Linked DNA regions of Saccharomyces cerevisiae S288C. The protein of the gene in region 2 interacts with the protein of the main gene of each other region in a pairwise test. Each region holds a gene or a part of one and is shown on either strand. Other genes may lie near its edges.

Region 1 (3,463 bases), on a different chromosome or scaffold from region 2:
GTGTCCTTGTTGGTCCACTTCTTGGTCTTTGGGTTGAAGAAAGAGTCACCCCATAATCTGTCCATCATCTTGGCCTTGTCGACACCGAATTTCTTAGCATATCTGGTGGCGAATTGACGGATAGTGAAAGCCCAACCGTGCAAACCGGAACCGAAGGCAACGGTACCTCTGGCTGGGTAAACTTGGACATCACCCAAAACTTCATCGGCGTAGGTGGAAACGATGACGTTAACGGATTCAACAGTTCTGGCAAAGGTTTGGTATAAATCTTCCTTAGAAACTTGCAATTCCAACAAAGCTCTGTCGACCTTGTTGATAACAACAACAGGCTTGATTCTCTCACCCAAAGCTTGTCTCAAAACAGTTTCGGTTTGGACACAGACACCTTCAATGGTGTCGACGACAACCAAAGCACCGTCAGTGACACGTAAAGCGGCAGTAACTTCAGAGGAGAAGTCAACGTGACCTGGAGAGTCGATCAAGTTGATCAAGAAGGAGTTACCGTCGGTCTTTTGCTTGATTTCCTTGACATCTTCGTCAGACATTTCAGAGTATAGAGAAATAGCGGTAGACTTGATAGTGATACCTCTTTCTTGTTCATCCTTTCTGGTATCGGTGAAACGAGCTTCACCAGCCTTAGCAGCGGAAATAATACCGGCTCTTTGGACCAAGGAATCGGTCAAAGTGGACTTACCATGATCGACGTGAGCAATAACGGACATGTTACGCACATTGGTAACTTTGTCCATTAAAGAACGCATTTGGTCAACAGTGAAAGCAACCATCTTGCAATTATGTTATAGTTTGTGTTTGTGGTCTTTGAGTCTGAATGCTAAACACCAAAAGGGCAATCGTGAAATGTAAGAGAATAATATGTATAATCTAAGATATCAAGAATATATAGAAAAGAAGAATAAGCTCACAAAATGAAAAAAAACTTTTAAGAAAAAATTTTTTTCTCTCTTCGTTTTGCTCACTCCAAAAGCCTACTGCATTGTAATACCTGAAGAGAACAAACCATAACCTGGAGGACAACAGCCCAGTGTGCAGGGAGATCTGAGAAAGAAAGGAACCACACGAGAGACCCGAGAGGAAAGACCAAATCCCTTTCCCAAACTAGTTGTGTTTTTGTCAGGTTAATGCGTCTGTGTATTTCTCAGAACGCTTACGTTCCAGGTATTTCGCACCCATTTTGAATTCTCCATATCGTTTTGCACGGAAAACCCATTTATCATCTATTCTGTATATAACCACAATAGGCATCTCATTTCTTGCTTTGAAATAGTAGGTACTTTTGTACGTAATTCTTCTGGTAAAAAAAAAAGAAAAAAAAGGAAGGAATTTGGGTCTCAATTTTCACCCTTTTGTATAACAGTAGCATTCTTGCATGTAATCTCCAATATTTGGCTTGTGATTGCCATCTCTATACTTCGTCAGCCATTACCTTTTCCCCTCCCCTTCCCCTCCCCTCTCCTATTGCCGCACCGCCGGCTACAAACATAACTCCAACCATAATCTCACCGCAGCTGGCATATCCTCCGGTTTTCCCTCTCCATCGCCCATTGTGTGCCAGACAAAAGACGCCGAAAAAAACCGGAACTGCCGCCGCTGGTCCTGAGAAGAGCAAGAACCATACGGAAGAGTCTCAGCAGGCGCTGCTCCAACTTGGCACACGGCAGAACCTGCACTACAATAGCGTTAGGAAGAAGCATCATTTTTTTCTACTGTTTTTTTTTTTCTTGGGGAACCGCTCAGGGCCTAATGGAAACACCAATGGATTTGAGAATTTTAACGCTATTCACGATGACCGTGACTCAGAAGGAATATTTAAATAAAACAACTTTTTAGCAAATTGAATACTCATCGATGAGCTTCGCTTGATTGCCTAATATTCCCCCAGTTTTATAAACAGTTGGGTCACATATAACTGAATACATTCCCAGAAAGATTTAGTAAGAATAAAAAATAAAAATACTGGTTAAAATGACATCGTCTGCTTCTTCTCCACAGGATTTGGAAAAGGGTGTGAACACTCTAGAAAATATTGAGACGCTCCCCCAGCAGGGTTCGATTGCAGGCGTTTCGCAGGGCTTCCCTAATATTCAAGAGATATACTCCGACAGAGACTTCATTACTCTAGGATCCTCCACCTACAGGCGCAGAGATTTGCTCAATGCACTAGACAGAGGGGATGGGGAGGAAGGAAACTGTGCAAAGTATACTCCGCACCAGTTCGCTAATCCGGTTCCTTTGGGTCTCGCATCGTTTTCTCTGTCATGTCTAGTTCTGTCGCTAATTAATGCGAACGTTCGCGGCGTCACTGATGGTAAATGGGCGCTAAGTTTGTTTATGTTTTTTGGTGGTGCCATTGAATTGTTTGCCGGGTTATTGTGTTTTGTCATTGGGGACACATACGCCATGACTGTGTTCAGTTCTTTCGGCGGGTTCTGGATCTGCTACGGTTATGGGCTAACAGATACTGATAATTTGGTCAGCGGCTATACCGATCCCACAATGTTGAACAATGTCATTGGGTTCTTCCTTGCGGGCTGGACCGTTTTCACCTTCTTGATGTTGATGTGTACATTGAAGAGCACGTGGGGTTTGTTCTTACTATTGACGTTTTTGGATCTTACCTTCCTACTACTGTGTATCGGCACCTTCATTGACAACAACAATCTCAAAATGGCCGGTGGCTATTTTGGAATTTTAAGTAGTTGCTGCGGTTGGTATTCGCTATACTGTTCTGTGGTGAGTCCTTCAAATTCTTATTTAGCCTTCAGGGCGCACACAATGCCAAATGCTCCTTAAAGGGTATGAAATGAAAAACAAAACTTATAAAACATTAAAATGATTTAATAATAATGATAACGTTACGTTTAGACATAGTCTTTTTTTTTTTTCTTGGCCAAGAGTTTTTATAAAAATTTATATATCATTTACCCACAATACTTAGCAAATTGTTCGAGACGAAATATTCTTTTTTTGAATTGTTACCGATGGATGGATTTGTTCGAAATAAGACCCAAGGCTTAGGCATCTTTTTTTTTTTTTTCTGTAATATTTGGACTAAATATAAATCAAATTTCAAGAAGGAAGGGAAAAATCATAAAATAGTGAAGAATTCAGGCAATCAAGATTTAATTCGCATGTAAAATATCTCTTTCTCGTGAACAAAACTTTCGTTTGTACCTTTTGAGTACAGATATATTGCTTTGTTCAAAGGTGATATAAAAACGATGACGCGTCACAGGGGAAAAGAGGTAAATCTACATGCGAAGAAATATTTTTGGTAAATGTGCACAGAAACTAAAGCAACAATAGATTGTAGGAATAAGATGACAGACACATATAATAGCATATCCAATTTTATAGAAAATGAATTGACCGCACTGCTGTCGAGTGATGACTACCTCATGGATGACCTAGCAGGCGAATTACCAAATGAAGTGTGCAGATTACT
Region 2 (4,315 bases):
GCCAAATACAAAAGCGTTGATGAATTACGGAATTACTATCAATCACCTGTGAAACTCGAAGCTGTCATAATACCCGATGTCAGCAAGTCCCCCTGGTCGCAACAGAGCGAATGCGTTATGTACAGCTATTGCACACATTATAGGAAGGGACAGTACGGAAAATTGATAGAGTTTACAGATTCTCAAAAGAAATATTACGAGAAAGTTGTAGAATTATGGAACAAGGTTGTATAGAGTATGTTTCAGTATGAGTACGGTGAATTTCCTATAAGTTTTTAAACTTTTAGATTTTTCTATAAAGCATGTTAAACCCTTCTTGACATCGTTTTCAAACGGCATCTTTCCTACGGAACTAGGCTGTTTTTGAGATATCCTTATTTAAGTTCCTCTTGGCACAATGTTATTCCCGCATTTATATTTAGTTAACATTATGTGAAATTCGCTCATAAAAAGAGCCTTAGCTCTTTCTTCATTTTGCCTCAAGAAAACTTTAAAATAAAGTAGGAATGCCAACAATACTTTTCTTCAGTAAAAGACGAATATTGGCGTAGAATTTTACCGGTAATCATATATACTTGGCTTAGAACACTGACACATGCATTTTTCTCTGGACCCTTGCACAAATCATCAGTAGCGCCTGAATCAAAAACTAACAAAATACCATATCTGTTTTAAACAAATAAGTATATCGCATGAAGTAAGTTTCCCGCACGTAAAACTACTACAACACATTTTCGCCTAGAATTATAAGAATGTTTAGTGCATTGGCTCCAAGCGAGTAATTGTACGATGCACGTGCATAAAAAGTGCTCAGTACCCAGTTCCGCTATTAGCACAGGGAAATTTTCCTTACAAGCGAGCCCTTCAATAGCTTAGGAAGTAAGGTTACTTTGGCGACGGCCATAGATGCCTGAGTAGCCTTTTTCCTTTTTCCTTCCCTCAAGAATGTGTGAAATGACGTTTTCGGGATAAAGCGGGCGCTAGCAAGAAACTTCTACTAAGAGTAACGTGGCTGAGAAGAGAAGAATAATAAAGGTATGCCATGGAATAATTTTAGAAGAGGGGGACCTGCTTCTTAGAAACACGTAATCTGAATCCCAGAGCAACTGCGTACAAAACAAGATCTTGGCTTTGTAAGCAGGAACGGCTTTTTCCGATAGAAGAACGTTTTTTGTTTTTTTATGCAAGACCGTCTAAAAATTTGCACCCTATTTAACATAGACACTCAACGAATACCATAATTGCACCTGGTTTCATAGGACCCTGAGGGAACAATACTCAAAAGAACAAAGACTACTGGTAGAGGTCCCGATATATCCCTTCACTGCCGGTGACTATGGTAAAAATGAGGTTACAATTTCTGTATCGTTAGAGAAAATTTTTTTCGTTAAGGCAAACGCATCAGCGTTTACATAGGGAATTCCTAGCGTAGTTTAATGAGCAAGGTACATCAAACCCTAGTAGTTCTTGCAGTTACACAAAATATTCGTTAAAAGCCAGTTTTTCTCCTCTTTCTTAGTCTTGGCTGACTCTCATATAAAACAACTAGAGAAGCTGAGAAAGACTCCAGTTAATCGTGTCTCCCCAGCGTCTATTTCTTGAACCTGAGATGGCTAAATAAGCTTAGGTAGGCAAAACCATGTTGTTGGTACATATTATATCTTTCCTTCTGTTCTTCCAGCTTTCGGCCGCAAAGGCCCCACCCAGTAAAACGTCTCTAATAAATACTCATGAGAGAAGGTCGATATATTCATGCTACGTTGGTTTACGTAAAGAAACATGGGGGTTCAATGGGTCCGCTATATGTCGGTATGAACCAGCAATCCAATCGATGCTTTACTGTCTTTACGAAGACACGCATGAGAAAGGGTATTCAAATAAAACTTTGGAGAAAGGTTTTGAAGAAATGAGACAATTTTGCTATACACCAAAGTTTTTGAACATGACTGATGCCGAGTTTTACACCTCATTGGATAATGGAACATACTATATACAAGATCAACCTAAAGCTGGCATCAATATCACTTATCCTATCAGACTGAACACTACACTAAGAAAAGCATACTATGATGCATACTATGGTTACTACTATAACCATGACATTCCGTATTATTTCGGGGGCATTATCTGTGCATACTTTGTGGGTGTCATGTTGCTTGCAGGTTTAATTCGTTTTTTGAATTATACCCCAATAAAAAAGATTATGTTTCAGCAAAAGCTAGTCAATTACGTGAGAGGTTATACTACTCTACCCACTCTTTATGAAAAGCATGCAGAGCCCTTCTCGTACTTAAAAGTGATAACAGGCTATCTTCCTACTAGGTTTGAAACGTTGGTTATTTTAGGCTACCTCATACTTCATACCATTTTCATGGCCTACAAATATCAATATGATCCATACCACATCATATTTGCCGCTCATAGAGCAGAAGTGGCACATTTTGTTGCGTACAGAAGCGGTATACTTTCTTTTGCACACCTGCCACTCATTGTTTTATTTGCGGGAAGAAATAACTTTCTCCAACTTATTTCTGGCTTGAAGCATACCTCATTCATTGTGTTCCATAAGTGGCTGGGAAGAATGATGTTTCTTGATGCAATAATTCATGCTGCCGGCTTTACGAACTATTATTTGTATTATAAAAAATGGAATACGGTTAGATTAAGAGTCTACTGGAAATTCGGTATTGCTACCACCTGTTTAGCGGGAATGTTAATTTTCTTTTCCATCGCAGCATTTAGAAGACACTACTATGAAACGTTTATGGCCCTCCATATAGTATTCGCAGCACTATTTCTCTATACTTGTTGGGAGCATGTTACTAACTTCAGCGGTATCGAATGGATTTACGCGGCAATAGCAATTTGGGGAGTTGATAGAATTGTACGTATCACCAGAATTGCACTCTTAGGATTTCCTAAAGCAGATCTACAACTGGTTGGATCTGATTTGGTCCGTGTAACGGTTAAAAAACCAAAGAAGTTTTGGAAGGCAAAACCAGGCCAATACGTTTTCGTTTCCTTCTTGCGTCCATTGTGCTTCTGGCAGTCGCATCCATTTACAGTGATGGATTCTTGCGTAAACGATAGAGAATTGGTCATCGTTCTGAAAGCAAAGAAAGGTGTGACAAAACTGGTAAGAAACTTTGTTGAACGTAAAGGCGGCAAGGCATCCATGAGATTAGCTATCGAAGGCCCTTATGGCTCCAAGTCCACCGCCCATCGCTTTGATAATGTATTATTGTTGGCAGGTGGCTCAGGGCTTCCCGGTCCAATTTCTCATGCCCTTGAATTAGGAAAGACAACAGCTGCAAGCGGTAAAAACTTTGTACAGTTAGTCATAGCAGTAAGAGGACTAGACATGCTCAACGCGTGTAAGAAAGAACTAATGGCATTAAAGGGCTTGAATGTTCAAGTTCACATTTATAATTCTAAGCAAGAGCTAGCTTCGGCTGAAAAAATTTCCTCAAATGAAGTCAAAAACGGTGAAACGACAGCAGAGAAGGCCCCATCTAGTCTAAGCAATTCAGAAAAAGCTCCTTCTGAAAGTGAAAATACAGAACTACCTCTTTCCCTGAATGACACGTCTATCTCCGATTTAGAATTTGCCACTTTCCATGTTGGAAGGCCAAATGTTGAAGAAATACTAAATGAATCTGTTAACCATTCTGGTTCACTTGCCGTCGTATGTTGCGGACCACCTATTTTCGTCGACACCGCTAGAAATCAAACTGCCAAAGCTGTTATCAGAAACCCATCAAGAATGATTGAATACTTGGAGGAATACCAAGCCTGGTGAACAATTTTTCATATTTAAGTAAACACTCAATGTATAATATCCTCTAACTGTTGTAATTTCATTAACGTAGATGGTTTGCGCCTTTTTTAGGGGACTCTTGTTGATTGATTCTAACTACTGAGGCTTAAGTTGTTTCAAATAACACTTTTTCAGAAAAATAATCGTATTAAAAAGCAGAAAAATCATACGTAAGATGACAGAAGCTTCATATTTAGTAACTCTGAATTGTATAACACACCAATTGCCGATAGAATATGAACCAATCGATCTTCAGCGTTCATGTACTTAATTTAACTACCTGTATTTTCTTATAAAGATAAAATTGGTGTATAATGTAAGGACCAAGAGAAAAAGGAATCCCGCATCCCAAGCAATTTCTAGTGGACTATTTCTTCAAAAAATAACTCAATAAACACCTATATAATGTTCGGAGGTTATACTTTAGTGTTTTAGAATGCAGTACCAAAAGTAATATATTGAATTAATAACTATATGATGTGTAGCTAAGAATTAAAT
Region 3 (4,889 bases), on a different chromosome or scaffold from region 2:
TGATGGTAAGCTCATCATGCTTTCAAAAAAATTACCAGAGAGCTTCAAATGGGACTCGGCAATCATGCGCAATACCATTACAAGTAAAGTGTTTACCTGGAGCCCACCAATACAATATCTTTACTTTGCAAGTTATTGTATTCTTGACGTTTCTTTATTCCACACCTTTACCCAGTATTTCATACTGAAAAAGTTGCATTGGAAGCACTATTCCGTTTCTTCAAAGGATGTCATATCATATACGATCTTATTATCGTACGGTGCCAAAATTTTTCCGATATTGATGTTGATATGGCCTTATGATACTCTAATTTCGATGAGTATCATTAAGTGGGTAGCTAATCTCTATATTATTGAATCGTTGAAGATTGTAACTAATCTTTCCTATTGGAATATCATAAAGATTTTTATAAGTGTGTCTTTATTACGATATTTCATGGTTAAGCCAATACTTATAGTTTTCGTGGCAAAGTTTAACTTTTCAGTTATTAAGAATTTAATACATCAGGAGTTTATACTACTACTACAGAAGTCAGGAACTTATTTATTGTTATAAGCAAATAAAAAAATATCCAGTATTACTTGTATCAAAAATCTTATTTTGGCATTTTCACAACAAAATATATAAATATAGAAATAGCACCTTGGGATTTCAATCCAACATCGGACCCTCTAATTCACTCACAGCGTAAGGGTATGCATACGACTCTTCCTCATTGGCAGAATTCACCGTAGAATTGTCTCTTTCGTACTCGCGAATTGAACTCAATGCGATATATTTTGACAACGGCAAATAGTTCTTCTCGAAATCATATAGGAAACATAATGTCACTACTGGAAGCGGGAAAAGGCAAGATGACAAAACCCATCCTCCTTCGAATCCTGCCAGTGTTCCTGTCATTGTTAATTGAAACAATAGCAATCCAACGATGATTCTTCTAAAAATTAATGGCCATACTTTTCCTGTAGAATGGGGCAAATGATCTGTGGCAAAAATCAATTGATATTTATAGACGTAAAACCCAATAATAAAGTACGCCAGCCCTGAAGTCAAAATTTTCGTGCTCATTACACTGTAGATCAACGTTATAATCAAAATCAGAATTGGCTGTGGTAATTGTAGTCCAAAGTTAAATATCGGTGGATTGTAAAGTTCATTCCGTTGCCTAGGTGTCTTAGCCTTGATTTTCACTAGAGGAAAGCCGATCAAACTACCAACTAATAACAACTTAAACGGGAACATACCAATACCTTGCAATATAATCAAATCGACATAGAATAAGGAGAACTCCTTCACAGATGTAGCAAGTTGATAAGCAATTTTGGTGGTATCGCTGAGGTACGCCCAGTAATTAGATGCTGTACCTGCCAATGTGAAAACTAAGAAAAGGTTGACAAAAATATAAAAGAAATTTTTTGAAACAAGTGAGATTTCCTCTTCGCTGTATGATACCAATCCTTGATAAGAAGTCAAATACTCGTAAAAATAGGGGATTCCAAAGTTAAGCAATGTGAAGAGATAGGTTGGTAATAGCCCCGTTACAATGTTAGCGGCCCACTGGTGATCTTTTAGTAGCTGCCCTACGCTTGGCCAGAATTTCGAAAGTGTTTTCAAATTTAGCAATGTGGCTAAGTATGATACAGGAATGACTAAAAACAAACTTGAAAGGCCTATAAATACGGTAGTAGAATAAACTTTTGTTAACCGGTCCTTTCTAGAAAGACAAACATGATCCCACTTGATATCGTGAGGTGCAGGAGCCAATCTGGTTATGAAGTAATGTACTCTAGGATCTAATACCGCCTGAGCTGCCATTTGCGCATTAGCAACAGAATCCATCGTAACGAATGCCGTAGGTGTTGCGGAGTAGTGTTGTTTCCTCGCTTCAATAATTTCAGCATCAATAAATTTTAATTGCTGCTCCAGGTACTCTATGGCATCTACTTCCTTCCCAAAGATACCACGATATCCAATTTTCATTTTTGGTCTCTCTCCAAGAGAAATTTGAGAATATAGTATAGTATCCTCGTCATTATTATTGCTTGATGGAACATTTTCTCCATGTGTAACTGCGCCTGATTGCTCGTTTCCCAATAAATGATAGTTCTCCGAATATGGTTGTCGAGTACGGAGCTCCCTTGGACATTCTGAATATTTTAATTCCAGGTTTTTGAGTATTTTCTTCCGACAATGAAATAGCTTGTTCAAAGGACCCCACTCTCGACAAATAGTGATTGATGAAACGGTGCCGATTTTTAATTGTTCAATTCTGGTCTTTAAGGCTTCCGAATCACGAAGCTCTATCGGGATGCCTGAGAGCCTTATCGTTCTATCAGTAATCGTATTTTGCTTCCCAAGATAAGCTTGCCTAGTACTTACGACGTGCTTTGTTTCCGCAACTGCCATTTTAATTGCTATGAAGGTGAAGAAATATGTGAAGAGAACATACATCCAGAGGTACACATTTGTACGTTCGGGAGCTGAATGATTGTCACCATCGCCACTTCCCTCCACAATTCTTTTTACCAGATGTATTAAAGAACTTTCACTGTCATCATCATCGTTGCCGTCATCAATTTTTCCAGTAAAATGATATCTTACTGGAGATATAACGCACACAGAGAAGAAACAAAAAATAGAAAGTAATTTGATGCACATTTTGAAAAAACTCAAAAACACATACGCATCTAAACCTGCATATTCCAGAATCTGTTCGTCCCGTATCTTATACAACACTGTTAACCAGCCGAATAAACTTGACTGATTCCAGGACGGTAAGCGAAGGTTCCCGTCATCTTTATATCGTCTGCTTGCGTATAATCTAGGCCACTTTTTTAGTAGAATTGAGAACGAAAGCAAAGCAAAAATACCTAGTGAAGTAGCAATAGTCAGTTGCGTCGTTACAACCTTGGCGGTGGGTTTTCTGAAATCATGATGCTCATCTGGAACTGTATCAAGATACGATGCTGCCGACTTGAGCCTTTCGATATATGATGTCATTCAGTACTGTTCTATTGTACCCAAAAAAGGCATTCAATGCTAATCTTGTTTGTTTAGCCTTCGTGCCCGCCATTATGTTAAAGTGTTGAGTTTTTCTGATTCACAATTGTTATATATGCCACATTAGGGGGAGGCGTGTCTTTGCAAGATCATGAAAAATTAACTGTGATTTTTATTTTTAAATAAAAAAAGTGCAAATTAACACAAAATCATGCTACTTTTTACTAAGAAGATATATTGAAGGTACCATTTATATGTTAAGTATAATTAGAGTGACGAAATTTAAATTTTGAAGCACCAATTATCAACCAATCAGGTCCGCCAGTATTGTGCCAGATTATGTAAATGATCAATCACGATAGGCAGCAAAGCATTTACACTATCATTGATTAGATTCTGAAAATGCACTGTGGCATCTTCTTCGGACATATTCAAATTAAATCTCTCTCTTACACGTAATATAGCACCATTGGGATCTATTCTGATATCAGGTATGTTCGAAGTCTTCATTAATTCAAACAGGTTTAAGATTAAGCCTGCATTCCTTCTTAAAATCGAATATGCCACAAAACAGTAGCTGCGAAATTTATCATAATTTGATGATTCTGCACCCCCAAACGCCTCTATAATTTGAGGGGGCAATTTCATTAATGGCGGAAAAGGTTTGGGGTCCTGACCCAAGATATAACCAAAGTCTGCGTGAAAAAAGTGCCCATCTGGCGTGACTAGTAAGTTGTCTAAATGCCTATCGCCGACACCTAAGATGTATGTAATAACACAATAGCCAGCACAAGATTTGACAAAATTATCTAAAACCCAGCCTTGTACGCCTAATGTCGCGTTCTCATCAGGATAGTGGAGTTTAAGGTAGCCAAGAATACCGTGATATTTGCTTAGTATGCTAGCTAATGTGTCATTAGGGATAAATTCAATGGCACCTTCTTGTGGTCCTGTTGCCAAAATTTTGTATGGTGTCAATTTCAAGTCCACGTTTTCATTTTTTAATAACTCATTCATTAAACTTATGATCTGTACTACCAGTTGATCTTGTCTCAAATCATCGCCAACCTTAAACATTAAGTGATATGGTTGGTTTAAGGTCGTTTTGAATGTTATTTTTAGTGGCGATAAAGAGCTTTTAAATACCTTCGAAGTTTCAGGACAAACGTCGCATATCAACACATCAGGGTCTAGTGGTAAAGCAATTGGTCGTACTTTGACAAGAGGCCTGACTTTCGTCTCCAATAAATGCACTAGTAATTCCATCTTTTTGGCTGTAGTATCTTTCAGCCTCTTAATTGTTTCACAACATTCCCTGAGCACATTTATTAGCCTGACTTGATCGTTCAGTATATTCCGAGATTTTTTATCCAGTCTACTCCAAAAGGAACTTAAAATCTGGTCTAAATATGGCTTGTCCTCAGACTCGGACTTTAAATACCAATAGAAAAAACTTCCTAACCTTGGGTTGACCAGTGCTCTCCTAATCAAAAACTCAGCCAAGGGAGAAATGACGATTGGTAGCGATTCTGTCCCGGAAGTTTCCGATTCACTCGAGATGGACTTTAATAATTTTTGGTTGGCATGCGATGTAGATAGTAACATAGAATCACCCGAAAGCTTTTGCGAAGATACGGCATCCACAATAGTGAATTCACTGTTAGATTTGTCGGAAAAAGTGGACAGGTTCTCAAAACAGACAGCTTCTACCAACTGTAATAAGTACAATTCCAGCTCCTTGTCTGATGCCTTCTTCAGCCTATTTACGGCGTACGATCTCACTGAAAGGTTTTTAAAAGTTGAGCCTAATAGTTCTAATGCGTCGTCTATATCAATTTCTGCCCATGAGTCCATTAGTTCTAAAACCTCTACTCTTTCCGATTCTTCT

Evidence for each region.
Region 1: the proteins of FRE4 (region 2) and ATO3 interact in a protein complementation assay, tested with the Saccharomyces cerevisiae proteins (one large-scale study listed by BioGRID).
Region 3: the proteins of FRE4 (region 2) and CSC1 interact in a protein complementation assay, tested with the Saccharomyces cerevisiae proteins (one large-scale study listed by BioGRID).

The regions. Positions count from the first base shown.
Region 1 is NC_001136.10:1,240,552-1,244,014, reverse strand, and holds ATO3 (putative ammonium permease ATO3), read left to right. Parts: upstream 1-1,983; coding exon 1,984-2,811; downstream 2,812-3,463. Other genes in the region: EFT2 (elongation factor 2), read right to left, coding at 1-785; NKP1 (Nkp1p), read left to right, coding at 3,339-3,463. UniProt on the Saccharomyces cerevisiae protein: Transporter protein required for ammonia export. Induced in rho(0) cells, probably to eliminate the excess ammonia that arises because of a potential defect in ammonia assimilation in those cells.
Region 2 is NC_001146.8:738,312-742,626, forward strand, and holds FRE4 (ferric-chelate reductase), read left to right. Parts: upstream 1-1,639; coding exon 1,640-3,799; downstream 3,800-4,315. Other genes in the region: MNT4 (putative alpha-1,3-mannosyltransferase), read left to right, coding at 1-234. UniProt on the Saccharomyces cerevisiae protein: Siderophore-iron reductase responsible for reducing extracellular iron prior to import. Catalyzes the reductive uptake of Fe(3+) bound to dihydroxamate rhodotorulic acid.
Region 3 is NC_001144.5:618,585-623,473, reverse strand, and holds CSC1 (Csc1p), read right to left. Parts: upstream 3,002-4,889; coding exon 653-3,001; downstream 1-652. Other genes in the region: sterol homeostasis protein ARV1, read left to right, coding at 1-556; phosphatidylinositol 3-kinase VPS34, read right to left, coding at 3,314-4,889.